Linked DNA regions of Arabidopsis thaliana. The protein of the gene in region 2 interacts with the protein of the main gene of each other region in a biochemical or structural test. Each region holds a gene or a part of one and is shown on either strand. Other genes may lie near its edges.

What was found.
Region 1: the proteins of RR16 (region 2) and AHP3 form a complex in vitro, tested with the Arabidopsis thaliana proteins (one study listed by BioGRID).
Region 3: the proteins of RR16 (region 2) and AHP1 form a complex in vitro, tested with the Arabidopsis thaliana proteins (one study listed by BioGRID).
Region 4: the proteins of RR16 (region 2) and AHP5 form a complex in vitro, tested with the Arabidopsis thaliana proteins (one study listed by BioGRID).

The regions. Positions count from the first base shown.
Region 1 is NC_003076.8:15,745,173-15,753,475, reverse strand, and holds AHP3 (histidine-containing phosphotransmitter 3), read right to left. Parts: upstream 4,746-8,303; 5' UTR 4,683-4,745; coding exon 4,470-4,682; intron 3,981-4,469; coding exon 3,850-3,980; intron 3,769-3,849; coding exon 3,697-3,768; intron 3,605-3,696; coding exon 3,533-3,604; intron 3,434-3,532; coding exon 3,361-3,433; intron 3,282-3,360; coding exon 3,228-3,281; 3' UTR 2,585-3,227; downstream 1-2,584. Other genes in the region: EDL2 (EID1-like 2), read left to right, coding at 1-163; AT5G39350 (Tetratricopeptide repeat (TPR)-like superfamily protein), read right to left, coding at 514-2,547; AT5G39330 (transmembrane protein, putative (DUF1163)), read right to left, coding at 6,469-6,745, 6,852-7,207.
Region 2 is NC_003071.7:16,968,093-16,973,591, reverse strand, and holds RR16 (response regulator 16), read right to left. Parts: upstream 3,739-5,499; 5' UTR 3,335-3,738; coding exon 3,172-3,334; intron 3,091-3,171; coding exon 3,005-3,090; intron 2,908-3,004; coding exon 2,830-2,907; intron 2,753-2,829; coding exon 2,679-2,752; intron 2,569-2,678; coding exon 2,472-2,568; 3' UTR 2,358-2,471; downstream 1-2,357. Other genes in the region: AT2G40660 (Nucleic acid-binding, OB-fold-like protein), read right to left, coding at 4,726-4,830, 4,958-5,021, 5,180-5,271, 5,375-5,443. UniProt on the Arabidopsis thaliana protein: Functions as a response regulator involved in His-to-Asp phosphorelay signal transduction system. Phosphorylation of the Asp residue in the receiver domain activates the ability of the protein to promote the transcription of target genes.
Region 3 is NC_003074.8:7,574,796-7,583,442, forward strand, and holds AHP1 (histidine-containing phosphotransmitter 1), read right to left. Parts: upstream 4,995-8,647; 5' UTR 4,743-4,994; coding exon 4,683-4,742; intron 4,458-4,682; coding exon 4,327-4,457; intron 4,235-4,326; coding exon 4,166-4,234; intron 4,062-4,165; coding exon 3,990-4,061; intron 3,902-3,989; coding exon 3,829-3,901; intron 3,697-3,828; coding exon 3,637-3,696; 3' UTR 2,917-3,636; downstream 1-2,916. Other genes in the region: DXPS1 (1-deoxy-D-xylulose 5-phosphate synthase 1), read right to left, coding at 1-290, 365-814, 895-1,045, 1,133-1,297, 1,379-1,495, 1,671-1,799; DMP1 (transmembrane protein, putative (DUF679 domain membrane protein 1)), read left to right, coding at 7,205-7,828; AT3G21530 (DNAse I-like superfamily protein), read right to left, coding at 8,033-8,307, 8,389-8,518, 8,592-8,647. UniProt on the Arabidopsis thaliana protein: Functions as a two-component phosphorelay mediators between cytokinin sensor histidine kinases and response regulator (B-type ARRs). Plays an important role in propagating cytokinin signal transduction through the multistep His-to-Asp phosphorelay.
Region 4 is NC_003070.9:845,835-854,253, reverse strand, and holds AHP5 (histidine-containing phosphotransfer factor 5), read right to left. Parts: upstream 6,462-8,419; 5' UTR 6,096-6,461; coding exon 6,027-6,095; intron 5,888-6,026; coding exon 5,757-5,887; intron 5,613-5,756; coding exon 5,541-5,612; intron 5,447-5,540; coding exon 5,375-5,446; intron 5,257-5,374; coding exon 5,184-5,256; coding exon of another isoform or gene 5,127-5,183; exon of another isoform or gene 5,076-5,126; coding exon 5,019-5,075; 3' UTR 4,633-5,018; downstream 1-4,632. Other genes in the region: AT1G03440 (Leucine-rich repeat (LRR) family protein), read right to left, coding at 380-1,573; 2A6 (2-oxoglutarate (2OG) and Fe(II)-dependent oxygenase superfamily protein), read left to right, coding at 7,680-8,302. UniProt on the Arabidopsis thaliana protein: Functions as a two-component phosphorelay mediator between cytokinin sensor histidine kinases and response regulators (B-type ARRs). Plays an important role in propagating cytokinin signal transduction through the multistep His-to-Asp phosphorelay.

The DNA.
Region 1 (8,303 bases), on a different chromosome or scaffold from region 2:
GTGGAGTATGCTTCAGGCGAAAATGATACCACAGAGTGCTAGCTGTAGATTGGGGGCTTATGAAGATAGCATTGAGTATTATGTTTGTCTCAATGGGCATATGCTTGGAGTTTGTACACTCTTACCTTTGTCTGATTCTGAAGGGGCCTCCGAGTTTCAGTGACTATAAATTGCCGACCTTGCGTTTTCCGTTGCAGAAAATGCTTGAAGCTTGGTCAGAGGTTATGATGTCGTCTCTCTGTTTCTTATGTACTGGTGAATTGTTGCTGCTAAACTTTGGGAATCATCACTTTGCAAAGAGTTGATGTTAAGTGTATCATAAGCTCAAGTTGTGCAAGGTTTGACGATTTCAGATTCTCAATTTACCATTGGTGTGCATCTACAAACCATTTGTTGATTCTGTGCATGTATATGTATTAACAACACTTGCAAATTGTAATAGACGCATATATTTCTGCTACATTTATGATCATTTGAACCCAACAAAAAAACTAGATATATCTTCCACATCTCTCATCTTGTATCAACTGAATTACTTCTGATCTCGATTGTGCTATGACCTGGTTTCTTTCTCAATCCAACATTCTCCATCATGCTTCTCACCTTCTCCATATCTTTCCATCGTCCTAAAGCCGCATAGATGTTTGCCAACAACACATAGTTGCCCGTGTTCTCTGGTTCCAGCTCGAACAACTTGTTTGCTGCCATTTCTCCAAGCTGGACATTCTCATGTGTGACACAAGCAGCAAGCAACGCACCCCAAACGGTTGACGTTGGTTCAAATGGAATTGTTGTGATGAGATTGTAAGCTTCGTCTAACCGACCTGCTCGACCAAGGAGATCAACAATGCAAGTGTAATGGTTTGATCTGGCTAACGTTTTGTAATGTTCAAGCATGAACCTGAATAATGTCAAGCCTTCTTCAACCAAACCCGAATGACTGCAAGCATTCAAGGCAGATGTAAATGTGATTTCGTTTGGCGTTACACCAGATCGAACCATTTCCATGAAAACTTGCAACGCATTATGACCATCTCCGTGCATCCCGTAGCCGGATATTAACGCACCCCATAGAACTACATCTTTGCTCTTGTGTTTTTCCTGGATTCCATTGAATATCTTGTGAGCAGATTCTAATGTTCCACACTTTGAGTAAACATGAACCAACCCTGTAGCAGCATCAAGGCTTGACATAAACCCGGTTTTGGTTAGGTAGCAATGGATATTCATTGCTTGACGCAAATCTGCCAAAGCTGCATATGCTGGAAGGAGACTGTTTAATGTAGCAATATTGGGCTCCACATCTTCCCGTCGCATCCGTTTGAATAGACCTAACGCATCACTCACAAGTTCATTCTGTACACAACCAGCGATAATTGCACTCCAAGGACCGGTATGGTATTTCGAAGCCCCCGAAAATACTCTAAAGCAGAGGTCTACACGTTTGCATTTAGCATACATGCTGATCAAAGATGTTTCTATAATGATATCGGAATAAACCTGTTGCCTCACCGCCCAACCGTGTAAACATTTACCATCATTCACCTTCAAAGCATCACCACACACCGAAACAAGAGAAGCTATAGTCACAGCATTAGGTCTTACGCCTTCAAACTGCATCAATCTACACAACTCTAAAGCGTTTTCCACATCTCCATCTTCAGTATATCCGTTAATCATACAAGTCCACGTGATCACATCCCTTCGTTCCATCCTGTCAAAAACAAATCTCGCTTCATCCATACGACCACATTTCAAGTACATATTCACCAACGCATTCTTCACCTCAATTTTATCCCCTAACCGCTTCTCTTCCACCAACTTATGAACATTCCTCCCCATCTCCAAATCCTTCAAGTGACCACAAACAGGCAACATAGAAACAATCGTAGCATGGTCAAGATCAACACTTTCATTAACCATCCAATCAAACATCATTAACGCATCATTCATATAACCATTCCTATAATACCCACTAATCATCGTGTTCCACGAAATCACATCACGGTTCTTCATCACATCAAACACATCCCTCGCCATTTCAACCTTCCCAAAGTTCATATACATCGCTAACAACGCGTTCTGCACATACTTATCCCTACCAAACCAACTCCTCAAGATCCTCCCATGAACAACCAACCCCAATTTCATCGATTTCAATTCTCCAGCAGCTTTAGCAACAAAAGGGTATGTATAACCATCCGGAACACACTTAACCCCCTCACTAACCATCCTAATAAACACGCTAATCGCATCGTGATACAATCCTTCACGCACGTACATTCTAATAACAATGTTATAAGAAAGCAAAGAGCTTTGAGGCATTTCCTCGAACAGCTTCCGTGCATAAGTGATGTGACCACATAACGCATAAGTTACGGAGAGAGTCGAGAGAATGTGGCCGGAAACTCGACCGCCGGTGATGACGTGGCAGTGTAAAGCTTTGGTTTTTGAAATTGATTGAGTAGCTGCAAAGTGATTCAAGAGAGATTGGTATTGCTTGACGCTACTAAGTGCGTTGTTGGCTCTGCGCAAAACTTCACTCATTTAAAGAAAAAAACGACTGTTGAAAAATCTATTGGGTCGCAATTTTTTAAAAGCAACGACATATCTAACCAAACTGCGTGACGTTTGTATTTTACAGTGAGAAATGCTTGACGTTTTCTTATTTTACAGTAAGAACTGCGTGACGTTTGTATTTGACAGTGAGACTGCGTTGACGTTTTGTATTTCACAGTGAGAACTGCGTGACGTTTTCTTTCTTAACATTAGCTGATGGGTTTAACTTTAGGTTTCAGCTTTCACAGGGGACACTTGTGAGTGTTTGTTCTTGGTTTGTTCCTTTTGCCAATGTCTTCGTGAAGCTTTTTGCTTTCAGAGTCTATTCTTTTGCGCGTTGTCTTGTGTAGCTCTCCTTGAATTTTCTGCTTCTTATGATGCTTCTGTGTCTGGAAATATTCCTGTTTTTGAATACATAACTCACTCTTGTTCATATGGTCTTATGAGATGCAAATTCATACTATTCAGATAAGATCAGTACCAAGATTCAAGAGATGATGATACAAAAGATACATAGTATTGATCTATGAACAACAATCACCTCTCTTTTCCACACATTCTCAAGAGTTTTTTTTCTTTTTCGAAGCAACAAATTCGAGTAGTACTCGTCTGAAGAATGCAACTGGATGATCATCATCTTGCTGTTCTGTTGTCGATAGGTCTATTGTTTATATATCCACTTGAGGGATTCTACCACCAGCTTGGACAATCTGTTGCTCAAGCTGCAACAAAACAATGCAAGACTTATTCACGAAATTCGAAAGCAAAAAACCGACACAATTCACGTAGCTTTTCACTCACATTGAACAGATCTTGAAGCTTTGCTTTTAATGTCTTGTACTCAATATCCACTTGCTGCAAACATCTCACACACCTATAACAGAGATTGTTTCCCAAATTAGTTTCAACAATCAAATGAACATAGCAGAAATTTGAGATTCTCTTAAAGAAGAACCGGAAAACAAAAGCTTACCCTTCATAGTTCTGAGAGTCGCAACACTCCTTGAGGGTAACACAAAGACCTTTGACTCTCTTGGCACCAACACTTCATAGAACAACAAGAAAGGAGCTCTTCACTGAGACTAGATCCGAGATTAGACTAAAGGACCGAGACTATACAGATCAAATGTGACATACCTTGAGCTACTACCTTTGAGTTGATGAACACTAGAACCTACCAGTTTGAAATCTACATTTCCTGTCTGATCTCTGAGTATACATATGAACCAATCATTAAACCATATCTGCTAGCTTTTGATGATTAAACTCGTAAAAGAAAAGTAAACTTACAAAGCTCTAGCCATATTACTGATAAGCTTCTCACAGTCTTCAAAGAAGAGAGTAACAACCTCAGCCACAAAATCAGGACTACATTCATCTTGCAGCTTTTTCAATTCTGTGAATTGATCATCCAAAAACCCCTTTACAAAACCAACACAAAGAATCTCAGAAACCCATTTCACAAAATTCCCAATTCCAAATACAAGCTCCAAGTACCCTAAAAACAGTAGAGAGTAGTCATCCCTAAAAAGAAGACAACTTTGAAAAAGAGACAATAACCCATTTCACAGACCCTAAACCCAATTCCCAAAATCCCCAATTGCCATATACAAGCTTCAATAAGAACCCTAAAAACGTAACCACAAATTCAAAGTTTGCTTCACCAGAAAAGTAATCACTTTGAAAGGAGACGACTTTGAAAATGGAGACAATAACCCATTTCACAATCAGTAAACCTAACTCTTAAATCCCCAGTTTCCAATTTAAAAGCTTCAATAAGAACCCTAAAGACTGTGGAGAGCCATCTCTAAAAAGGAGACTTTAAAACTCAACCACAATTTCTAAGTTCTCTTCACAAGAAAGTTAATCACTTTTATCCTGAATCTCTAAGGAGAGATGCTAAAATTTACCTGGTGATAGAGACTAATGGTGAAATCACAAAATCGTCTCTGTAACTGAGCAATGAGTGTGTCCATGGCTCTCTCTACTCGTCGTGAAGGCAAAAGCAGAGAGAAGAAGAAGATGTAAAGTTTGTTTGAAATTGCAATCCCAATAAAGAGATTCTTACAGATCATCAAATTTGGACAGAAATAAATAAAGAAATAGTCACAAAGCTTTTCCATAAAGGGCAGAGAAAAAGAATTAGAATATGATTAGTTGTCAAAAAGACAACTTTTACAAGTGAGAAACATTGATTTAGGCCATAAAAAATGGAATCTCTAATTCATGATTGATACATTCATTCATTCACTCAAAGTTTTTAGCATTTTCCAATGTTAGGTATGTTTCTGTTATGTCAATCCACCAACACTAAGAATCTCTCACGCTGGAAGATTCTCTATAGACAAGTTCATTTGAAGCATTACCGTGTGGACAAGACTGAAGAACATTGGTTCTATTCTTTTGACATGAGCTTCAGAGAATCATATACTCTCATCAACTTGACCTCATGAAAACAACTTATAGTGGCAGATTTTGCTGTTTATGACAAACTAAAGGGTTTTTTGCACTAATATTAAGTTGTTTGGTAACATACTTATTAATATTATATCGTAGAGGCATTTAGAGTTCTTTCTTACCAAAATACTCTACCTTCTTTTTTTTTGCTATAACAGATTTTGATATTGGACTTGTTTTTTCGGCTGTTTAGATCTTTTTTTGTTTGAGTGAAATGTTTTATTTTTCAATTTGTTGGAAACAACTAATATGATCGCGAGTGTCATTTTGAGAGTTGCGGAGGCAGCGAGCTGGCTATATAGTAAGGTCAAAGGAGGTAAATCTGGCTTTATTCGGTAACACATCTAAGTTTAGACATCGAAAGCAAGAACTTTTGTTTAGAGGCATTCACATTTAAACTAGGAAACTTTGGGTGAGAAGTCCACACGTCTTGGCTATATATGAATTGCTAAGCTGAAGCAATATGAGGTGTTACATACCTCCTGCAAAATTAAGGTCTATATAATATAACTAGAGCCACCCCAAGCAAAATTAAACAATGGTTGTTAGCGCCAACAAATTTGTAAGGTTTATTTAGAAAATATTAGCATATATAAATGGTATAACTTATGGTGAAAGATTCATATATATGCTTAGGATAGTATATAATGATTAAGAAAACAAAGTGTAAAATTATAAGTGTTAAATCTTGGTGACCTGAGTTGAGTTGAGAATTGAGTTGTGAGATTAATACCAAAGAAAAAAGTGACCTGACTTGGATCTTAAAATCTTTCTCTTTTTTTGATGAGACGGATCTTAACATCTCTCTCGTTTATTGGTAAGGATCTTAACTACTCTCTTTAATTTAGTAAATATTAATTTAAAGAGATCTAAATGTCCCAAAATCTTAATAAAATTATAAAAAACTCCAAAAAAGAACATTCGGTCCGTGTGTAGCTATGTTCGGATTAAACGTTTTTAATAGGTAGGTATTGGATCACCCCATGCTTAGCAAATTTTTAAACACTAGATATATATATACAAATTTACTATCACAACACAAAAGATAAAGATCCACCTTTGGGAGGGCAGACCATGCACCACACCATTAATTAGAGATCTTGCATGCATATTGATCTCATAGATGCAACATTTGTGGAGAATGAAAATACCATCCCAAAAATTGAATATCATGGAGGAAAATAATTGCAACTTGTCCGTCAAGGATAAATGCCTCGTGTAGAAATCATCATAACACCACGTACAACTCCATGATATTGCTCTAGAACATATCTATTGTTCGTAAAGAGAGAGAATTAAGAATGTTCAACACTTAACATCTAGAAGAAATATATTCCATTAATTAATTTATAGGAATTTAATTTAGGTAAAGCAAGTCCATATCAAAACGCAAAAGAATTTAGAAAGTCCATCATTTGACAAACTAAAGAACAAACTATTGATGAAAAGTACTTAGCGAAGATAGCGGCAAATAGGGTGGTCTCCAAACAAAGTTGCATTCCTTTGAGAGCCAGGCTCGAACCTTAACATGGCTTCATCACACGCATAGTTCATCTTTCCACTTGTCCCATATCTACAATCCGGAAGAAGCAATCGCGATCGGAACCTTATTTCACCTTTTTCCTTGATATCCTTCATAATATCTTTTATAATCACACCCTCCATGTCTCCTTCAGAAGCAATCGATGAAACCCTAATCAGCTGAGCCCACCGTGGTATCAGACTGTAACTGATCAATCATGATAAGGAATAACACAAAAATATGTGAACAAATAAGCTGAATAAATTATTAAAAATTCTAAAATATAGACAATAGAATAGAAAAAAAGTTTAACCTCTCTATGGATGAAGTAGCAATGGTAACACCTCTGTATATTATGGAAAGCTGAAAATCTCCTTTGAGACACATATACCAACCAGGAAGATCTCTAGGGATCCTTAACAATAAATCCCATTTTACACTAAGATGAGTCTCGGTTATATTAAGGACCGTGAAATCCATAGAAGGTATTGTAATATTTGGGACATAGTTTTCTTTTTCTTTATCTTGTTCATACCCGCAAAAGGTCATAGCAATGAAGAAAGCGATACAGAACAAGATGACCACTAAGACGACAAACTTCGGATGGTCTTTTAGTGTAAACGGAGGCAATTCAGATGTGAGTTTGGGAACTAATGCTTCTTTTTTCATTTTTTTCTGTGAGAGAGAGAGAGAGACGTGTATATAATCAAAGTTTTTTTTTTTCTTTTCTTTTTTTCTTATAATCAAAGATTTTTATGTCGACGTTAATGTATTGCTATAAATAGCGTTTTTCTTTTACAAAAATTTAATGTGTATCGATCAAAAAAATGTTTTATATGTGTATATCTTTTTACTGATATCTTTCCCATTTTGTATTGTGTTTCGTTAGTTTTATTACATTATGCTTTAAAGTTTATAAGACTTTAGAGTAGTGTAAGGAAATCTAAATCAAGAATTGATTCAATAATCCAAAAAATATGTGTGGGAAATATTATTACCTTATATCAATGTATATTTTTGTTGATGAAAAAATTGTATCTGTTGTTACCTTTTTTGCATAAGGTTTCCAATAATATCTTTTGCATGAGGTTCCTAAGAAAATGTATCTCTAACCACTCTTTTAAAAGGGAGAGATACTATGTTTGGGCTTTGTTTTCAGCTCATTCTCCTTTTTTTATTTTTTGTAATTTGATTCAAATTAACCGAAATATAATTTTGGAATTAATTTTAAGCCCTATAACTGAACCGAATAATCCGAGTAGCGACCGACTCGAACCGAACTTAATTTCGGTTCAATTCGGAGAGATTTTTCAAAAACCGAATTTCCTAAAACCAAATAACCCGACCCGAATAAACCGATTTCACGTAACTCTCACACCTAACGTTCACAATGAAAAATAATAAAATATAATCAAAATAAGCTGAGGTTACTGTTGGAGATGAATGATGACAATAGATATGAGTAACCTCAGCTTAGTCATCTCCAACGAAAAGATATATCATTATGACATTGACATTACATATGAGTTACAATAATTTCGTGCAAGCAACCACTCTGCGACTTGCACGGACTCGCATGTTCTGTCCCACGTTCACCCACTACACTCTCACTATACAAGTCTAACTTTTGGACGTCCCTCACTCACTAGGCTAAGATCTTCTTATTCACAATTGTGAATTCTACCACAAGTAAGAAAACAATAACACTATTTACTTTCTTTCTGTTTTAACTTCTCAACAACAACCAAAGTTTACTATAAATCGG
Region 2 (5,499 bases):
GGTTCTCCTCACCATGTCGGCGATTATTCCTTTCTCTCCATATGGTGTGTACCTTTATTTGAAATGTATATCTCAGCAGTAGAAGATGTTTCCTCCCAAGAGACGAACTTGTGAGGAGCGTAACAATGCGGTCCCAAGAAGAAGTGTAATGACCTTGAAGTAGGCCTTTCATGAGCTTCTCCCACACTTGTGTTGAATAAGGGCACTGAAAGAAGAGGTGATTTCTTGTCTCTACCGGTTCAGCACAGAATTTGCAGGTAGTATCCACTTGTGTGTTCCATGATCTCATTCTTGCACCCGTTGTTAGTCTATCATGAATTGCAAGCCAAGTGATGAAAAAGAACTTCGGTGTAGCTTCCGAGAACCAAATCTCTTTCGCCCATCTGCAGATTGGTTTTTCAACTCTCAGCATTTTCCAAGTTTCATTTGAGGAGAAGTTGTGTTTAAAACCTGTCTTCCATTTCCATAGAATCAAATCTTCCTCTTCAACCTTCCTCCTCACCCTTGTTTCCCTGATGACCTCTTCCACTCTATTTAAAGTCTCCACTCTATGTCGTCTACCTCTCTGAGAGGCCAAAACGTCACCCACTGTGGCTTCTTTTGTAATACCCAAATCAATGCACCCTCGATCTCCAAAAGTATCAAATAAGTTCCCCAAAGAGGACCATGTATCATACCAAAAGGATGTCCCTCTGCCACTTTTTATTTCAACCTGATAGAAATCCTTTGCCAAGTCTCTAAGCTTTAAGAGTTTCCTCCACATCCAAGAACCTTGAGATGAATTTCCCTTGACTGTCCAAAACGTTTTTTCCGAATTAAATAGGCATGAATCCACTTACTCCACAGAGACGTTGGTGCTGCAAATAAACGCCAAATTAGCTTCAGAAGGATTTAAATCAGGCCCACTCCAGAGAAAAGCAGAACAAAGTTGTTGAATCTCTTTAATACAAGCGCCGGATAAGCTGAATGTTGAAGACCAAAAGTTTAAGAATCTCTTTAATTCAAGCGCCGGGTTTTTGGTTTTAATGTAGTAGAGAACCAATCTTTTGCGGATGACTTTATATAGTTTTGATTTCGCATTTGAATTCAATTTTAGTTAGATATATATGTTTAATTCTCAAGCAAAAATAGTTTATTTAATAGTTTTAATGATTTTTATGTTTGTGTCGTCTTTGTATCACCATTAAAATATCATATCGTATCGTGTCACCATTTTAAATTCACTATCTGTACTTAAAAATTAGGCTCAAATTATGGGTTATTCGGTTTGTAGATAAGAATTGTTTGGTTCAAATTAGATTAGTTTAGTTTATTCAAAATTAAACACCCTCACTACCACTAGACTCAAGTCCAAACTTTCAAAACAAGTTTAAGTTAGGTTAGATTTTGGTGAACATTGAATTCCAAGATTCATTATCCAAATTGGATACGTATCAAACTCAATTAGCTCCGCTAATTGCCACCTCTTTTGGACAGAATGATAGAAATATGATTTGAAATTAAATAACGTGTAGTACCAAATCTACGTATAGCATGGTTTTATTTCAGTCTCAAATACAAATCATGTGTATACTACGAGAAATCGTGCGGTACATACACAAATCAGAAAAAGAAAGAAAAATAATAACATCATGCACATAAACAAAACATATAAAATAAAAAACATAAAAAAGATTGGTAGGTTTGGTCCGATCTAAAGTAATGAGAACGGAGACACATATGAAATGACACGTGTTATGATGTTGAAAGCTTCCATGGAGACGTACAAGTCTCCGGAGGAGACAATTTCTCCTCTGCGTCTCGACTTTCGACTCTCTCTCTCTGTCTCTCGGAGAAGAAAGAGATTCATCATCTTCTCTCACCATTAATCTTCCTTGCCAAAGATTTTCGAGCCCATTCATAAGATTCCGGTGAATTTTCCGAGGTAAGAGAAGAAAAACAGGATTGTACTCTTATATGAATCTCATCGTGATTCAGTTAAGATCCTTTGCTCTTTTTTTTCTCTCGTATTAATTTTTTCTGTTCTAAATTGAAATTCTAGACCTTTCTTGCTGCACAAGATTCTTACTCTTCTTTTCACGCAGAAACGATGTCAATATTGTGCAACAATGGCCGCAAAAGAGATAAGAGAAGAGGAAGAAGAAAAGAGAAAGAAACAACGATAGAAGAGACTCATCAATGTTGTTGTTGTTGCGTGTGGCCTCCATTTTCAATGGTTAGAGGAATAAAGAGATGTTTCTTCCTCTCATGTTATCCATTTATTCGATGTTTAGGATTGGAAGAGAGAAGACATCGTCATCATCTTCATCACCACAACCACTTTTTATGATTCCTTTTGTGTATAAAGATTACTATAGGGCATGTGAAAACATTTCTTGATTTCAAGAAAAACATGTAAAATAATCAAATAAGGAATCAAGACACAATGAAAACGTTTCATGGTTAGGGCTAACATTATAAATCTCTCATGGTTAGCTTCTGCAGTTCATGAGATGACATTTAAGCTTCTCAACATCAGCAAGCTTCAAAGGCTTCTGCATAAACATTTGAGCTCCACTCGCTAAACATCTGCTTTCAAAAGACCAAAACAGAACATTAAGATTGATGATCTTTACTAATTACTTACACTATAAGAAACACAGAAACAAGTTCTTAATCTGATCTCAATTTGTTCTTACTTGTTTATGCGAGTAGGAATATTCTCTGAAGACATTATCACAACAGGAACCTCTCTCAGATTTGATGACTCCTGCTAAAGAAACACACAGAAGATTTTTAGGTTAATATAAATCTCTGGATATTGGTTCCAAGAAGCTGTTATATAATTACCTTCACTTTCTTGAGTAGCTCAAAACCTGTCATTCCAGGCATACAGTAATCGGTGATGATTAGACTCACCTTCATAACCTAGAAAATCCACACATATATAAACCTAATATCAAATATGTCCTAAGGAAAAAAATCCATAGATCTTGAAGATTTTATATGTTTTTTTTTTGCTTACGTTACAGGTCAATGCATCAATATGCTGATTTTGATCTCCCAAACCCAAATACTCCAATGCTCTAAGCGCATTCTCTGCTGTTGTCACTGCAAAAATTCACATTTTAGAGACAAAGATTGCATAAAGTAATGATTGATTATAAAACATGAAAGGTAAAATGATTGAACCTTTGCAACAAGAGATCTTGAGCAACCTCTCAACGAGTTTACGGTCAATAAGATTATCATCTACAGCTAAAACATGAAGCTCTTCATCATGACCATGATGAAGATGATGATCATAAGCCACCACATCCATTAAAGACGAACAAGAACCTCCTGAACTGTTCATGATCTCCTTTGTTCCTTAAATGTCAAGTAACTGATAAAGAAAACAACTTGATAATAAGCGAGACTGACTCTAGCATTAATATAAAGACCTTGCAGACATTGCTTTTAGTTCTCCATCTTCAACAAAAATAAATCAAAAAGACAAAACACAAACAATGAAGAAGAAAGTGACAGACTCAGAAGTGTGTATGCATGAATCATGTGAATCTCTGGTGATGGTATTTATGATGGTTTCTTTGATTTTTTAGGTGGGTGAAGAATTTTCCATTATGATTTCCCAACTATATATAATTCTGCAGAATAATTTTTAAAAGTAAATAAAAACAGAGAGCAATGGGGAAGAGATTGCATCAAAGAATATCACGGATATTTCGTGATCTCTTATTTTTAGGGGTTTTAGTTTCAGTACCAGTCGTTATAGATTTAAAGTTGCATATACTTGTCTTTTTGTATTGTGTTACTTGTTAGGACATGTTCTTCGAATCGTGTGGGGTTTCTTTTTTTCTTTTCTTTTGGACCACTTTAAAATTAAAAAATTGTAGTAGATTCATAGAACTGAAAATATGATATGAAAAAGATTTATTCGGTAACAATCTGATATGATTTGAAGAAAAATCGTATAATAAAAGCCAAAGAACCTCAAAAAAGATCATAATTGTTTTTTGGGACAAGAATAAAGATTTTGTGTGTGTTTAATATAAGAAAGAAGTTGTGTGTTTTGGAGGACTGATTCTTTGTGAAACTAAATAAAGAAACATATGTGTCCGGTGACAGTCGTACGGATCTGTTTCAGGATCTTGTAAGCTGATAAGATAATTCTTTAGATATCAACTTTTTCATTATTATTTTTCGGGTTCAAATCCTTGGAATAAATGGAAACAGGTAATGACTTTTTGTCACAAATGGACCACCAATCTCTTTTAGAGATCCCCATGGGCCAGGTCTAAGATTCTTTATCATCCTTCCTTGTAAGATCATCTACGTCGAATCAAAACAAAAGGAGGTTGTTTCTTCTAATTGAAGTAATTTGCAAGTTTATTTGAACACAATTGGTTTGATAGTTCAATCCAGAGTGAATGGCTTGGTTTATCTGATTGAAAAAACCCCATAAGTAGCTAAGTGGATATTTGTAGGTAATACGTTGCAATCCAATGGTGGACTTGCACAGCTTGAACGAAAGGAGTGAACAAAGAAAATGGAACTAAGTATCTAGTAGCAGAGAGTTCTCAAAAGGGAAATTGAAACAATGATGTTTGTCAAAAAGCTAATAAGAAGAAAGTTTTTAGATTAATTCGAATTGTGACAAAAAGAACATCTTTTCTTTTTCCAACTGAGTTTGCGAATATCAAAGAAAAACGCTAGAGTAGAGGAGAGAAGTATCAACTGAGTTTACTACTTGATGGTCGCCTTGGGGATGCTGGAAGTGCAAGGTCCAGCCGAGGTCATGAATTGTATGCCTTTGTATGTGGCTACGCCATTTTCATCAGTGTAGAGACCCTGCAAATGCATGTGATTAACCGAAGTCCTCGTGAGATTGAATGTTTACGTATAATAATGCAAACACAGTACTCGCATCTTCGGTTTGTTTAAGTCTGGAACCTAATAAAGGGCAAAAAACACATACCGGTGTTATCTTCTCTAGTTGCTTCTTTTTTGGGTTCAGTACATCTTCTGGCTTTCCTTCAATCCTATATAAACATTTCGATAAAGGGTTCTTGAGTTTGAGATAAACAAGAACAACAATAAAATAAAAAGAAAAGAGCATATATGAGTTTAATGGCTGGAGGGGAAACATGTAAATAAAGCAATCAAAGAGGTTCGATGTTATATTGTTAAAACTATGTACCCTGAAAATGAAACACGCTCTCCTGGTTTAGCACCAGCAGGTGGTAGCAACGGCTCTACCACCGAGTGATCTTCACTTGAAGCACAAAGAACCTGCAGCAAAGAAATCAAAAACACAGAAAATGAGCAAATGTGAGAGTGTGAAATATTTTGATAGCTGATGAGCTGGATTGAGGCAGACAGAAGAGAGTATTACCAGTCCTTGTGACATTACATCTCTTAGCTTTCCAGGTTTGACATTTGTGATGAGTGCAACGAGGCGGTTCTTCATCATAATAACGCAGGAATCAAGAAACCATAGATAAGTAACTTTCAACCAAA
Region 3 (8,647 bases), on a different chromosome or scaffold from region 2:
CATGAAAGATGAGTAGATTGTACAAAAGGGCTTAAGTCCTTCGCAAGCAAGACCAGCAGCGAAGGTAACTGCATGTTGTTCTGCTATGCCGACATCGAAACACCTTGTAGGAAAGCGGCTTTCGAAGAGATTCAACATGGTTCCACCTCCCATGGCTGCATGAATGGCAACAATATCTTTGTCTGCCTCTGCTTCTGCAATCAAGGCCTCCACAAAACAGGAAGTGTAAGACTGAGTCTTGGAAATATTTTTGAACTGTTTACCTGTTTCTGGATCAAATTTTAAAACTCCTGACAAGAATGAGAAATATGGATCAATCCAAGAGTGCTTAGTATAGTCAAGAAGATATGAAAATTAATTTTACCATGATACTTGTCATCAGCTCTCTCTGCGTAAGGATATCCACGACCTTTCTCAGTCACGACATGGATAAGAACCGGTCCTATGGTTTTGGTGCTCTTTAATGTTTCAAGAATGGAGACCAGATCATCTATGTTGTGTCCATCAACTGGACCAACATAGTGAAAACCAAGTTCTTCAAACAGTGTTGAACTAGTCTCTCTAATCATTCCACAATTAGATTGCAGCCTACTAAGAGCACAGCTCAGAGCTCCAACAGGTTGAGTTGGTCCATCCAAGTTAGCAGTAGGCAAAGATACTTGTTTGTTGTCGTTGAGAATCACAATCATGTTGGAGTGTAAGTAGCCAGCATTGTTCATTGCTTCATAAGCTTGTCCAGCTGTCATAGCACCATCGCCTATAACCGAAACCACGCTGTTGTTCATCCCCTTCAAATCCCTCCCTACAGCCATCCCTGATTCACAATTTCCGCATGCATGTTAGGAAAGTGATTTTTCTTGTTTTCTTGTGACACAAGAAAATAACAAGTATGACCTAAGCCTGCAGATAGTGTGGTCGAACTGTGCCCGGTGCCAAAAGAGTCATGCTCACTCTCTCTTCGCTTGGTGTAGCCGGAGAGGCCATTGGTCTGCCTTATTGTCTTCATCTTTCCTCTTCTTCCCGTTAGAATCTTGTGAGGATAAGACTTGTCAAAAAGACAAAAACAAAACAAGTTAAAAACACTTGTACATGTAGCTAAAGGAAAACTTATGCTTGCAATGAGATAACCAACCTGATGACCAACATCCCAAAGGATCTTATCATGAGGAGTATTGAAGATGTAATGAAGGGCCACGGTGAGCTCAACAACACCAAGATTCGAACCCAAGTGTCCTCCAGTTTTCGAAACATTAAAAATAACATCAGATCTCAACTCGTCCGAAAGAACTTTGAGTTCCTACATAGCAGAACACTTTTTCATCATCACATCCTTGATTTGACACAAAACAAGGTTCAAGACTTGGATTAGGATTTATACTTTGATGGAGAGATTTTTCATGTGCATTGGATGGTTGATTGTGTCCAATAAAGGAGTTGGTGGTCTGTTTGAATAATATTCACCTTTCTCTGAAAATGTTGTTGCTCTTACTTTTGACTGAACCAAAAAAAGATGTTATGTTATTTTCAATTAATTCAATAACTTTCACAAACTTAACAAGAACTAGTGTACGTATATAGTTTCTCACGGATAATCTGCAGAACTTTGATAATAATGCAACTTCATATAGTAATCAATAAGTAAAAGAGGGAAAAAAGAAAAAAACTCTTACATATTTTGTAGAAGACATAGAAGAAGGTTTAAGATATTTTAGTGAAGGATTCCTATTTATGTAAGAAGGAAAGGCAAATACGGAGAGAGCCATTTGAGAGAATTTGTTAATCTGTGTTTGATATGACATTCCAACGTATATATAGTGGTAGTATCAATAAAATGTAAAGCTTACTAATCGAACTCTTTTAACACCTTAAATCCACGTAGAAATGTATTTTGTACAAATTTAATATCAAAATTTTAGAGAATAGCTTTCTGTTCACACACATGTTAACGTCTTATTAAAGTTTACGCTCTTTAACAACGGTCTAAATTCATTTGTCCGCAAGATACACACCTCTTATTCCCAAGTTAGATGTTGGTATAATTCAAGGTATATGATTTAATTTAAGTGACAGAAAAATGATAAATAATTCAGACCACAAAAGTTGACCACAAGTATTTGGATACATAAGCCTTATTTAATTTTCACTATAAAAGTAGTTAAGCACGGCTCTATTGCTCGTCTCAATCACATCGACGTGATATTTATATTATTGGGGATAGTTCAAATAGAAACTTAAATCAGTAGCCGTCAAAAAAGTAGTGTATTGACTAATGTACTAATCCAACGGGAATCACTTACACCATATTGTGGCTTTGTGGGAGACTTTAATTAAGAGATGTTTGTATGATAATTACATTACATATCTGTACTTTCAAATCTACACAAAATATACGTAGCGTAACCTAACACATTAATGAATAATGATGCATGTATAATGTGTTTCATGTGTGTTGAAAGTTGTAACTAGTGATTTAGACTACAGATAGGAGAAAACTTAATGGAATTATTCAACCTATCTCTTGTCTTGATTACTGATTAGTCTTCTTCTTCTATGCATATATTTTCACCAAAACATGCTTCCCTTTGGATACTATGCATGTTTGAAACAATAAAATAGGAATAAGATATTGATTATAACCAAAAAAAAAAAAGTGTTATTTACCCTATGATCCTTATTTAAATTTGTAATCGATAATAACAAGGTGGAAGAACATATAAACATCATATTTTTGTCATATTGCATAATTAATGGTATGGTTCATTATACATACGAAATTACGAACTGGAAATCTTAATTATTATTGAAAAGACAAAAAGGTCACTTGAAAACAAAATTAAACAGAAGGTACAATTAAAGGAACTAGTAAAGTTATGAACAAACGATGAAGGGAACGCTCATTCTTTACCCAAAAAAGTTCAAATAAAAAAGATGGAGCACTAATTAATACGAGTATAGAGCAATACAAAGTTATAAGTGGTAAACTAGAAGTCTAGAAATCGAACATGAGGTTATAAATTGGAGCCATATATAGTCGACGACAGGTCACGGATCTGTAAGTAATTAAGAATTTTGTCATTATTTTATTTTTAGCTACATTATTTAACGTGCACTCACATAGTATAACTTTATTTTTTTCTTAATTGCATTGTATAAATGTCTGAAAATCTTTAGAGATTCGTCGAAGTGCAATCGTAATAAAAAAAAGATTTCCAAGATCATCATGGATGTTTAGTACGGGCCCTTTGTTATCATCTTGGGCTACTAAAATTCATATGGCCCATCTGTGTTCTTTGGTCAAGGACTACAAGACTTCTAACTACTTCTAACAGTTACAGTAAAACAACAACCTAATACCTAACCAAGTTGTCCGGATCACATTACCTTGATGCGTACATTATCTTGATCAAACTCTATATAATTGTAGTCATGACTCATGACTATATGTTTGCTTGAGATCTTATTTTACATATGTGGGATTTAGATGTGGATTAAGAAACGTTTTAGCATGTCTCACTCTTCCAATGGCACAAAGAAAGAAGTTCACATAAGAACCTTTTTTTGATAGTCACATAAAGAGAGGAAGAAGAGAGAGTCCAAAATGAAACAACAATGGACAGAGATGTTTATGAAATTCACTCAAAATCCGAGTTCGACGGCCGGGATCATTCCACCAGAAGCTACAATCTGTTGCTCCAGCTGCATAGATTCGATCATCAAAACCAAAATTGAATCAGATAAGTTTCAAATGTTGATCAAAATATTGTATAACTAGATAAGAGTTATGTGGGTGGTTTTATAAAAAAAAAAAAAGTCTCTTTGACTTTTTACCTTGAACAGAGTCTCTAATCTGTTTTTCACAAGATAATACTCTTGCTTCACTTGTTGCAAACATCTATGACATCTGAAATTTTTCAACGATGTATTTTCCTAATCAGATCTTAAAACAAAGAAATAACGAATGGACCAACGAACATATCGATTAAACTCACGCTTCGACATTTTGCTGCTCGCAGAAGCTGCGGAAGACAACACAAGCATTCTTAACTCTCTGTGCTCCTATACTGTTATTTTTTGGCAATATATATTGTTACACATTTCAAGATCAAGAAAATGTCATTATCATTGGATTAAAATCAGAAATAGCCAGTTTTGTTTTTGTTGTTACCTGGAGCTGCTACCTTTGAGTTGATGAACATGGGGATCAACTTTTTTAAAGTCTACAACTTGTTGATCTCTGCCCGAAGCATAAAAAAACAGTGAGAAACACAAGTTTTGGAAAAGAACAAAAAAAAAAAGATTAAAGAGAGAATGTGTAAAGAAGATTACAGGGAAAGTGAGAGATCATTGAGAATCCTATCAGAGTCTTGGAAGAAGAGTGTGACAACTTGTGAAACAAAATCTGGATTGCTTTCATCTTGTAGTTGTTGCAGCTGCAAGAACTGGCTGTCCAAAATCCCCTTTTTTGTATTTACCCAAAACAAAAGACTTTCCATAATCAGAAACTAATTTTACATAACCTAAACTCATGATTATCTTACCAAAGAAACTACAAAAGCCTAACACATTTTTACTATAAGTCCTAAAACCATTTTTACTACAAGTCCTAAAACCAGAAAGAAAAAGTTGTGAACGTTAAAACAAGTTTTCTGATTATTTGATCTTTTCAAATGTGAAAAACTTACTTCTAAGAAGAGTGATTTGGTGTAATCTTGCAAACTCTTCTGCTTCTGAACCAAATCCATATTCTCTGTTATTTGCTTTTGTTCTTTATTTCTTTGTTTCTCTCTGCCAATAATGGAGGTAAGAAAATGTCCAACAAAATCCTCAGTACTTAAAAGATGAGAACAAAATCCTCCGTATCAAAAAACCCTATTTTTTAAATTTAAATAGTTTGTATTTTATTATTACAATTTTGGTTTGGATGTGAGAAAAGAATCCAAAAAGAAAGAAACTCTTAAAGAATGGAAGTTGGTCGTGCTGTCAACTGTCTAACCATTCGCGCCTTTTTTTCCTCGTTTTTTTTGCAAATGTGATAAAGACATAAGAAGAGCATTTGATACTTCTTGATTTGTCTTTTTTTTTCTTAAGATTTTAAAACATTTTATTGGTTCGAATATTTAAATTACTGTACTACTGATGAAAAGCATATACTAATATGCACAGCTCGCATTCAATGTATCTTTCAAATAGCATCTCTAGGGAAACTTTATTTGTAATATAATTTTGATTTGATCCTCATTGTTTTTGTCCAACTAGCAATTCTTTTATTATAATAATACATTGATTGGTTAGTTTATTTTATATTGATGTATCACAAATATCGTAACGTAATGGGTTTATCAAGGAAATTGTGACTTTGAGAACTCAAATGCCGCCTAACACTTTGTAATGTTGTTCAAAACCAAAACTAAATGCAGCTTATAATTTCTTTAGTCATATATCTCGTCCAATCATTTGGTGGAATTCTTATTAAACTAGGATTTATCATATTTTGTGTTATACCAATATTTTTCATTATAATCAACCACTTATCACAATTCAAATGTTTTTTCGTGATTTCTCAAAGCTTTTCTATTTACTCGTTTGTCACTTGCTCTATAAATTTCTTTCAACTAACAATATTTCAAAACAACCTAACAATATATATGCAATAGCTCATATCCTTTCAATCTTTCATAGAGTACTACATACAATATATTTTTACGTAACATTTTCAACTACAACGATCAGCACACCAGTCTCATCTTTTTCAACCACACTATTTCTTCATTTGCATATCCCTGGTATTTTCGTCACTCCAAATACTTTCCCAATCATACTCATACACACCATTCTTATCTATTTCCTCATGCACAGTAAAATGACAATTTTTTCCTTAGACAATTCGTATTTTCAATAACAATTTCAACACGTCAAGCCAAAATAAAAATAGTAAATTAGTTTCACTGTATTAATTTCTGCAAATTTGGGTAAACATCAACGCTTTGACACGTCTCACATGATGAATGGACATGGGACATGCAAGAACGTAGGATGCGTTTAACGAATGGCATAAAACGTATTATATATACTAACTAACCAAAGATTATTAGTGGTTCTTACTTGATAATGGGTCCATCGTAAGAAGGTTCCATCACTAATTATGGACCTTTCAAATCTTATTATGAATTTTGATATCTTACATTATATTATCTCCGTATAAAAGTTAAACTGTGCTTCCTTAGTTTTTAACAAATTTATACGTAAAAAGTCAAGAAAGAGTTTGCACTCACCCATATCTCCAAGCAATTTATTATAAGAAAATCCTTATAGCCAATAGCCATATCAAGTTTTTAAAAAGGTTTAAAGCTAGAATACAAGTCGCTGTAGACGCAGCCAAATACGATATTATTTACTAAAAACAAATAAAAGGTAAACATGCAGAACGAGTTAGTCGATTTGTTGGTTCACTGCCAATTTCAGGTTAAGTTCAATTTACACAAGTAAAATAAATTAGTTGTCAATTTTATCTCGTGTATGGGCTTGGTTGGTTCAACCGCAAACAAAAAGAAGAAAAAAGTGAGTTTAGATATTAAAATGGTGTATTTACATTTGTAACACAATACCGTAAAAACAATCCATGTTGACGTAATGGTTTCACATACGATAAACACACTTTTAGATCATGTAAAATACAAATGCATGTAAACGTAGATTTTAAAACACAAGTCCATATTCTCTATCAATTTTGTGTTATCACGTTTACAAATTATGTTTGATAAAAGAAAACTAACCGCATTTTAACATATAAACACAAAAACAACACATTCAAAAGACATTCAAAGTCGTTGTATAGTCTTAAAATTTTTACGGATCCATAAGAGAAACTTCTCTTTAGATTCAGTCAAGATTCATCACCAAACGTGTGCTTTATTCGACGCCTTAGAAATTTCTTCGCATTTAGTTCCAAAACTCAATAACTTATCGAAGAAATTATAATCAACCGTTTTAGAAATTATTGAGTCTTCGTGTGTAGACATATAGACAAAATTTAAAATAGTTTGACTTAGTCAATGTTATTACCAATTCTTCTACGGTGTTAAATCCAACATCTCGGACCGGATCAATGATTTATCATCTCAAAATTGTTTTATAAATACCGACACACGTATCAAGCCAAGAACATACTTTATAGTTTATACATCTAACTCTAAGGTTCAAGCTCATGTCCGAAACTTCTTTGCTCATACCCAAAACAAACTCTCCAGCTTCATCAGAAAACATGGCAAACACAAACAAATCCCTCACAGGCCTAGAGAGTCTTATAAAGCTTCTCCCAACGGGAACACTCTTTATCTACCTTCTACTTAACCCTGTCCTCACTAACGACGGTGAATGCTCCACAGGTAATAAGGTCATGTCGAGCATTCTTGTCGCCCTTTGCAGCTTTTCCTGCGTCTTCTCATGCTTTACCGATAGTTTCAAAGGCGTTGACGGATCAAGAAAGTTCGGTATAGTCACCAAGAAAGGTCTTTGGACTTACGCGGAGCCAGGATCCGTGGATTTATCCAAGTACAAGCTTAGGATAGCGGATTTCGTTCATGCGGGTTTCGTGCTGGCTGTGTTTGGTACACTGGTGCTGCTTGACGCTAATACCGCGAGCTGCTTTTATCCTCGGTTCAGGGAAACACAGAAGACACTTGTCATGGCTTTGCCTCCTGCCGTGGGTGTTGCCTCAGCCACTATCTTTGCTTTGTTTCCGAGCAAACGAAGTGGAATCGGGTACGCGCCAATTGCTGAGGAGGTAGGTGCTGAAGAGGAGACCAAGAAAGCCTCGGTCTCTGCCTAAGATCGGTTACCTCAGTTGTTTCTAAATTATTTGTCAAGATTTGTTGTAGATTGTACAAGAATATCATTGTTTACTTAAACTTTTATTTAGTTCTTTGTAAGCATAGCTATTAATATGTAGACTAAATGTTGTATTGCATCTTAATATGATGGGAATAAACGTTATCATATACACAAGTGTTGTTTCTTAATCAGTGTCCAAACTTTATGAAGACATCAGATTTCCTAGTTTCCATGTATCTTTCGACATCAAATTAGCTTTTATCTGAAAGATCTTCTGCTTTGCTTTCTTGCGTGAATGTTTGAAGTTACCTCGAGATCGCTCTTTGGTTATAACTAAATCGACTTTGACTATATGATGATCAGAAGTACCTTTGGAAGAAACAACTGAGTACGAGCCAGGAACAAATTCGTAAGGTGACTCTGGAGATGCCAGAATGTAATCGACCCGTGTCCCGTACTTGCATGTTCCTTGTACATCTGCATCAGATCAAGAATTTCACATATTAGTACTATTACTACATTGAACTTTGCAAGTTAAGAGAAAATGGAGAAACTAACTTTGTCCTTTGGCAATAATGACTACAGGCTCACATTCTCCTGCAAATTCTTTTGAATCCAAGTATCCTTTTCCCTTGAGAAACCTCATCACTTCAACTCTAGGCGTCGGCTTTCCAGAATCCTCGTAATACTGTTCTTACAATACATGGTTTTTGGTTATATATGAGACCAACTAAATAATGACTGATCTAACGAAATTGTACCTTTACGATGTGGTTCCATCTTGCTATGGAATAATCAGAGCCATCAAGAGAATTCA
Region 4 (8,419 bases), on a different chromosome or scaffold from region 2:
CTCATTTGTCATCTCCCACTCCTTTTTTTCTATTAAAACGAATTTTAAGTTATTACTTTTCTGAAAACAAATTTTGGTAAACAAGATCATTCATGAAACCATTTTGAACACTCTTCAATAAAACAAAACCATCATTTTCCAATTTTAAATACGCAGAAACGATGGATAGTGGACAATCTTCATCCTCACATCAATATAATCCTTATTCCAAAGACACTTGTACACACCAAAACTCTAATCTTCATTCTCACCAACGAATAAACGAATCGTTTTTTCCTTTAAAAGTTTTTTTTTAACACGATGAAACACTCTGTTCCTCAAAAACTTTAACCAAAAAAATAAAAACATAGTATTATATAAGAAAGCGTAATTTACCAAACTACCCTCGCCACTCGGTGCATTGTGTAGTGGGCCTAGTCTTTTGTGGGCCGGCCTTTAGCGGACACGGGGTTTGTAACGGCGGCACCATACAGTTATACTGCAGACACAGCGAGCTGCTCACCGGGATTTCCGCCGCCGGGCTAATCTGTATTCCCGTCAAGAAATTATGCTGTAGATACAGAGTCTGTATGTTCGCCGATAACAACCTCTCCACGAAACTCGCCGGGACTTCACCGGTGAAACGATTGCTGTTTAAGTAGAGATTCTCAACGCTTGAGAGAAGCGGAGATATCCCACCGGAGAATCGATTGTAGCTGAGATCGACGGTGGAGATCGTCACTTGATTCGCCGGCTGAATTAAACCGAAGAAGAAATTGCGTTGTAACTGAAGATTTGTGATCGGGAAGGCGAAGACTCGAGCGGGGATTGTACCGGTGAACCGGTTTAAGCTGAGATCAAGGTAGTTAAGCTGGTTCAACCGGAGTAAAACATGGTATACCGATCCGGTTAACTGGTTCCAAGCGAGTGAGAGGTATTGAAGCGACGGAGGGAGAGACGCCGGTGAGATTGAGCCGGTGAGGCTGTTGCGTTTGAGATCGATTCGGGTTAGAGTTTGTGAGAGAAACGGTGGTATTGATCCGGTTAAGTGGTTGTGGCAGAGAATCAAATTGGAGAGCTCCGGTAACGATCCGATTGACGGAGAGATAGTTCCGGTTAATTGATTATAGCTTAAATCCAGTGTTCTGAGACCACGAACCTCGCCGAGACTCGCCGGAATCTCGCCGGAGATGAAATTCCGGCTGATTGCGAGAAAACGAAGGTCTTTTAGCTGAGAGATTGTTGCCGGTAACGCACCCATGATTCTGCCGGGGACAATGGAGAGCTCAGTGAGTGCAGAGAGTTTGCCTATTGCTGGGTCGATCCGACCCGATAAACCGGGTGAACCGGCTCTAGGATCGCCGAGATTGAGAGAGATTACTTTATCTCCGTTGCAGTAGACGCCAGCGAAGCCGCATGGATCAGAAGTGAAATCCCAAGACTCGAAGAACTTGGAACCTGGCAAGTCATCGAGGGATTTACGAATAGCTTGCAGAGCCAAGAAATCAACTGGGTCGAGAATCGCCTCCGTGAAGAAGCCGAATCGAAGCAGGAACATCAAACACCAAACCAACTTGGTAAATCTCATCATCATCTTCTTCTTCTTCTTCTTCAGACTTAGCCGTTACAGGTTCAAGAAACAGAGACTATATATATACACAGAGGGAAGAACAGAGACGAGCTGTAAAGTAGAGAAAATGGGTTTTGTTTTCTGATTTCTCGTGAGAGGGAAAGTCTCTGGTTTATGTGGTGGAAAGAAGGTGTTCTCGTGGGAGCTTCCGTGAGAGCTTTAATGGAGGATTATCAATAAACGATTAGCAAAAGGAAGAAAAGAAAGGTTTATCGAGAGAAGAGAAAGAGAGTAAACAAAATGGCTTGAGAAGGAAGCCAAAAACCCAAGAAATGAATCAACGTCGTCGTCTGTTTCTTCTTTCTTCTTCCTCTATTTTTTGTTTCCTTTTTTTATATTTTATTTTGTCTAATAGTGTCAGTCTTTGTACAGAGAAGAATATACGAAGATAAGTATATATGTTAAGTTACTTCTCAATCAAGTTTGTAATCTAAACTCTAGATTATCTTTCTCTTTGTACTCACATCATAATTAATAAGAAGAATACATATTCTCTACAATCTACATGGTAAGTTAATCTAATATACAGTTTAACATACATACAAAGATACTTGGTAAATTCTCTATACTTTCATTTTCCTCTTTGTTCCGCTCTTTTTGTTTGTTTCTTTTGGTGGCTTGTGGTGGAAGACGATGATATGAAAATTTAATGTGTCGGACAAAAACACTAATTAGAATGCTAAATTAAGAAAGGTTATACATTTGGATTGTGTCAGTAAAAACATGAAAAAAGGTGCCTTCTTTTCTTTTAGCTGTGGTTTTTATGGGGAACAGGTAATATGGTAAAACGGCTGTCCGAGCCTTAGGTTCGTAAAGAAACAGATTAGGTTCGGTGAGAGAGACGATAAAAAGTGTGTCTTCTCGTCACGTGAGTTTTGTGTGCGTTTCAGTTTTACTGTTTTGAGTGACAGCTTGGACGAGCGAGATTTCCGTGACACGTCAGCTTTCTGGTTCGATAATTACTCTATTGTACTAGCTACTACCTTTGTTTTATAATTGTACTTTATTATTTTTTCCAGATATATTTTGCTCGATTTTAAAACACAAAATCAGCGTTACAATTTCATTTTCCTGATTGAAGTTGATGAAAAAATAAAATAAAGAATTTTCCTGATATTTAACACAAATCATAACGCATATCGTAGGAAGTTTAGCTTATGATAGATGGTTAAGTAATGGTCAATGTAACTGATGAAAGTTTTAGTCAATATCAACTTTGAAGTGTGTCCTAGTCTATATCTAACTAAGCTTTACTGTACTATATCCACTTCCAACAAATCTTGCGACCAAAAGTTTATTTCACAACTACTTTTGATTAGTTAAATGTTATAGTCCCTAGTTAGTACTAAATGTTTGATTCGCCATAGGGCTTCTTTGATGAAGTTATAGATTAACACATCTATCGAAGAAATGTTTCGTATACCGACTCTTGCATAAATCAACAAATGTTTTTGTCAATTGTTTTCACTCGTTTACATTTAGCCATTATACTAATTACTAACTTACTTCATTGACCAAAAAATATATAACTGTATTAATCTATATTTATATATGAAAGAAAGTTTTAATATTTTACGAATGAATAAAATGAATATGAGAAAGATGTAAAAGCTAGCTATGACAGTTAGATAGGTGAAAGAGAAAAAAAAAGATTTGTAAGGTTGTTCCAACTGTCTAAATTTTACAAAGGTAGCTGGCAAATGGTCCTTCAATTCCGTGGGCGTAAAGAAAGATAATTGGTAAAAAAGTTGGACAACGCATAAGAGATTGACTTTAAGTTTAAAAGCAAAAGGAAAAAAAAAGAGTAAATATGGTAAAAACAGTGACATGTTATATTTCTCTAGTTTTTACTCATTTGGTTTTTCACAAAACTTGTTGTTTGTATGTTAAAAAAAGGAATAGGAGCTTGGACCACAAGTTTTAGCAACAACACATGCATAAGATGGTCAGGTCAACATTTATAACGCTTACCCAATTTTAACATTTGTTTCACTACATACGCAAGCAACAAAATAGCTCGATATATACCTCTACTGTACAATCTTTTGCCTTGTGTACGTATATTAGCAGATTGTCTCTACTTTTGATGTGCATTAATTAGTTTCATAAGTGTAACTACCGTTTTCTGAAAATAATTAACTCATAGCGTACATCTAAATACGTTTCAAATAATGATTCGCTACTGATTCACATATACCAACCATGCATAATAAAAATGATTTAGTATTCATTCTAAGAGAGACTAGGTAGTGATGAGTAGACCAAATTAGATTTATGAAAAGAAAACTTGGCTTTGCAAGAAAGCCAAAGCAATACGTTCCAATCATAATGAACAAAATTAAAAAGGTCTAAACCCTAAGATGGTCCGCACTACGAGACAATTAACGCACTCGTTTTGGGACTCTTGTGTTTGTTTGGTGTGTCGTCGAATCCTCTCTCCATAGAAGGTAAGATCACATAGTAACCGATATAAGATTTGCTTTGACTTTTGAATCGGTTTCATGAAGAACCCTAAAACCAACCATGTTATAAGGATATTACAAAATTATTTTAAAAACATTGGTTGAGAGAAATAAAAATGATGAAGATGGATATGATAAAATGAAGGATAGAGGAGAAAAGCTTTGTTATTATTTGTTACATTACACGCCTCCATGCCTTCAATTTATGTTTCATTAGTCTCTTTCACTTCACATACTCTTCCTTTAAAAAAAAAAAAATGCTCCACCTAGTGATTACCATAGACACATGGCTTCACATTTTTTATTCCACTTATAAACAATCTATTGATAATTCTTCGACATTTTCTTTTTATTTCATTCCTAGTTTGAGGTAATTCGGACATTATATTAAATACATACCTAACAAGACATGCCCAATCCTTTCTCAATCTATTGTCACAATCATGTCTTATAAGCCCTATAACAATAATGTTGATAAAAGAGACCATGGAATACCGTTAACAAAATAAAGAGACCATGGAATCGTGTTATCCATAATTCAAACAAATCATTCTTGATTAATCCACACATAATGAAATCGTCTAAAGTGCTAACTAGTACCCGCATGCTTTACGGCTCAAATCAAAATCATGAATCCAATAGAGTATATCAGATTCAGAATAATGCTGAGAATTCTAAGTCATGATGGTCAGAACAAAGGCTCCAAATGGTGGTTGCATTGTGACAGGAATACATATGGACATGTCTATTTATAGACTAATAATTCAATTTTTACTCTTAGAACTCAATTAAGAGTCTAAACAAGACACGATATCTGGCCAGGGACAGTGTTGCTGAACCTCATTAATCAATATAAAACATAACAACAACAACAAAACTACAGAGGAGTTTCGGTTTCATTTGTGTCATCAGCCTTGAACATTTGCATAATCGAGAAACGCATCGGTCTAATTTATATCCACTTGAGGAATTGTACCTCCAGCTTGGAGGATCTGTTTCTCTAACTGCAACAACATAACATAACAGAAACAGAAGAATGAGAAGTAGCAAAAGGCTCAGTAAAAAGAATACACAAGCAGAACAAGTAGGTTTTCGCAAAGTTTAAAACTCACATTAAAGAGATCCTGAAGTTTAGTCTTTAACATCTTATATTCATAATCCACCTGCTGTAAACACCTTAGACACCTGTGCCAGATATCATTATCACAATTTGTGTGTGAATTAGAAGAATAGCTTCTCATATAATAAAAAAGTTTAGAGATCCAATAACATTTTGCATCAACAAGCTAAAAAATATACTCACCCTTCACGGTTCTGAACATCGCAACATTCCTTGAAAGATATGCACACATTTTTCACCCTCCTTGCACCGACACTGAGTACAAAGCAGAGACTGAGCCATTAAAATCAATGTAGTTTGGTCACTTAAAACTAGAAAAGCAAATTTAGCAGTGTTCACTGTGACAAACCTGGAGCTACTACCCTTGAGTTGATGAACACCTGAATCCACCTGTTTGAAATCCACATTATCTGGCCGCTCCCTAATGTTTATAATAAACTCATAAAATGCTGTCATGAATATATGAAGCTAATTTACACCCTCAAAAATGAATATGAAGGAGGATTAGAGACAAAGTCCCATGTTAGATAAAAAAGAGAAGCCTAAGAGAGTAAGCAAAGCTTACAGGGATATAGACATGGTATTAATAAGCTTGGAACAGTCGTCGAAGAATAGAGAGACAACTTCAGCTACAAAATCAGGGGTTCCTTCATCTTGCAACTTTCTCAACTCTGAGAACTGATTATCCAGAAATCCCTTCAAAACAACAACATATTATATCATCTTTATAAAAAAAATAAAAAAATTCAAATTCACACATAACTGCACCTTAAGCTTATCTAAGCCCAAAAGTGAGAATCCAGCCAAAGTAAGAAAAGTTTGGTTAGGAACGAACCTGTTGATAAAGAGAAACGATGTAGTCTTGAAATTGTCTCTGCAACTGAGCAACGACGATGGTGTTCATAGCTAAAGTTTACCAAGAACCAGACTTGTAAACAAAGATGGTAAGAGCTTCTCAAACATACATATACCAAAAACAAACAACGGATACGGTGAACTGTATTTCGACGGTTCCGAGATCGATCTAATCGGAGGTTTTTGGCTTAATTTAAAACAGATCCAACAACAACTAGGCGAAAAGACCAAAGAACAAACTTCCAACTTAACTAAGAGATTCCAAATTCAAAATCGGAGCGACACAGAGAGAGATGATGATGAATCTGATCGGAGCGTCGAAAGTTATAATTTATTCCACGTTCCGTTGACTGATTTTGACTTAAATATCAAATGGAGGGTTATTTTTGTAAATGACTATATTGTAGGAATTAATCAAGTACGTAAATAATATTTTAGTTTGTGGGGTGCAAATCTGATTTTATAGATAGGGAAGTTGCTAGCATGCGTTCTCCACAAACGAGATATCTTTTTTTTTTTTTTTTAAAAAAAAAGGTCCAGTCCCAATTGGGCTTAGGCCCGGAATTACAATCGTCCACAGTTACAAAACAGGAAAAATCCGGTCACCGGAAAAAGAGAACCAGAGGTGGATTTGGGCAGTGGAACGGAGGCAGCAAATAGATCTATTAGTACCGTCGTATACAAGGCCCACTACTTTGCAACACAACCACCGGAACGAGATCATTGGCCGAAGTATACGAGTCCTGCCGCAAATCTCTTACCAATGAGCTGGCCGGACCTGCAACAAACCTAACGGAAAAAACCCAGTTTCCGACACTCCGCCACCCAATTTGGTCGAGTCCCCAACCTCGCAAAACGACCACGCATTTCCAAGCCTCTGACCTCCAAAACCTTAGATCTGAAAATTTTCCAAAAGCAAAGCAACCTTCAATCCGGATTGATGGAGACAAAAAACGGAGGCTAAAGAAGGGTGATGGCTCAGACAACCCTTCAGCAACCGGAACCCGCAACAGCCATCTCAGATCCAGTTTGTTAACCATCAAACACGCACTGAAAACCCACCAATCCACAGCGTCTTCCGCCACAGCTACAGCGTCTAACCAAGTGGTTGAACCAAGAAAGACTTCACCGATCTCCACCGACGTCCATAACCAGGAAGAAACGGAAGAGAAGCCTCTCATCCACCGAGAAAGGGCCACCGCTGCCACGCTTACCGGAAAAACCACACCACTCCAATGCCGGAGAAGATAGCTTGCCTTACTCCTGCTTTGTCTTGCAAATTCATAACCTAAGATGAAGAACAGAGGCAGAAAAAACTAGATCTGTAAAAACTGGAAAAAACTTCAAAGAGAGAGAAAATGAACAGTAGCGGAACGATTGTCCAAAGTCCTCCAAACGAGATATCTTTAAATGTTGTTTTGCTAATTAGTGGCGTTTCGAGAGCTAGGCGAGCAACAATGGCGATGAGATTTAATATGGTAAGTGTGTAGTTAATTAACAAAAGTTCAAACCGGATGCTATTCTTACTTGTAAAGACAAACGACCAATTAAGAATCCAAATTTTAATATAGGAATTGAAATAAACTAATGGACCTTGTTTTTGGCGATTCATTTCTTTATTTGTTATCTTAATATGGGTCACGATTCCTTTTGTTATTTAATTGTATTAAGATGTGCATTAAGATGTGGAATAATAGCACTTATGCAAATCTGTGCATTGCAAAAAAAAGAAAGAAGAAGCAAGATGGAGTCAAGTGATCGTTCAAGTCAAGCAAAAGCTTTCGACGAGACAAAAACCGGCGTGAAAGGGCTTGTGGCTTCGGGAATCAAAGAGATTCCAGCCATGTTCCATACACCTCCGGATACTCTAACAAGCCTGAAACAAACAGCACCACCTTCGCAGCAGCTGACGATCCCCACGGTGGATCTGAAAGGAGGAAGCATGGATTTGATATCGCGGCGGAGCGTGGTGGAGAAGATTGGAGACGCTGCGGAGAGATGGGGATTCTTCCAGGTGGTGAATCATGGGATCTCGGTGGAGGTGATGGAGAGGATGAAAGAAGGGATTCGCAGGTTTCACGAGCAGGACCCGGAAGTGAAGAAACGGTTCTACTCTAGGGATCACACTAGAGATGTGCTTTACTACAGCAACATCGATCTCCACACTTGTAATAAGGCTGCAAATTGGAGAGATACGCTCGCCTGTTACATGGCCCCCGATCCTCCCAAGTTACAGGACTTGCCCGCGGTTTGCGGGTAACGTTTCCCTTTCCATACCAAACACCTAGCTAGCTAGGATTCATTTCTCTTTAGTTTTTTTTTGGTTTATGATGATAGAGATTATATTCTTTTACTTTAATTATGAGAAAGAAT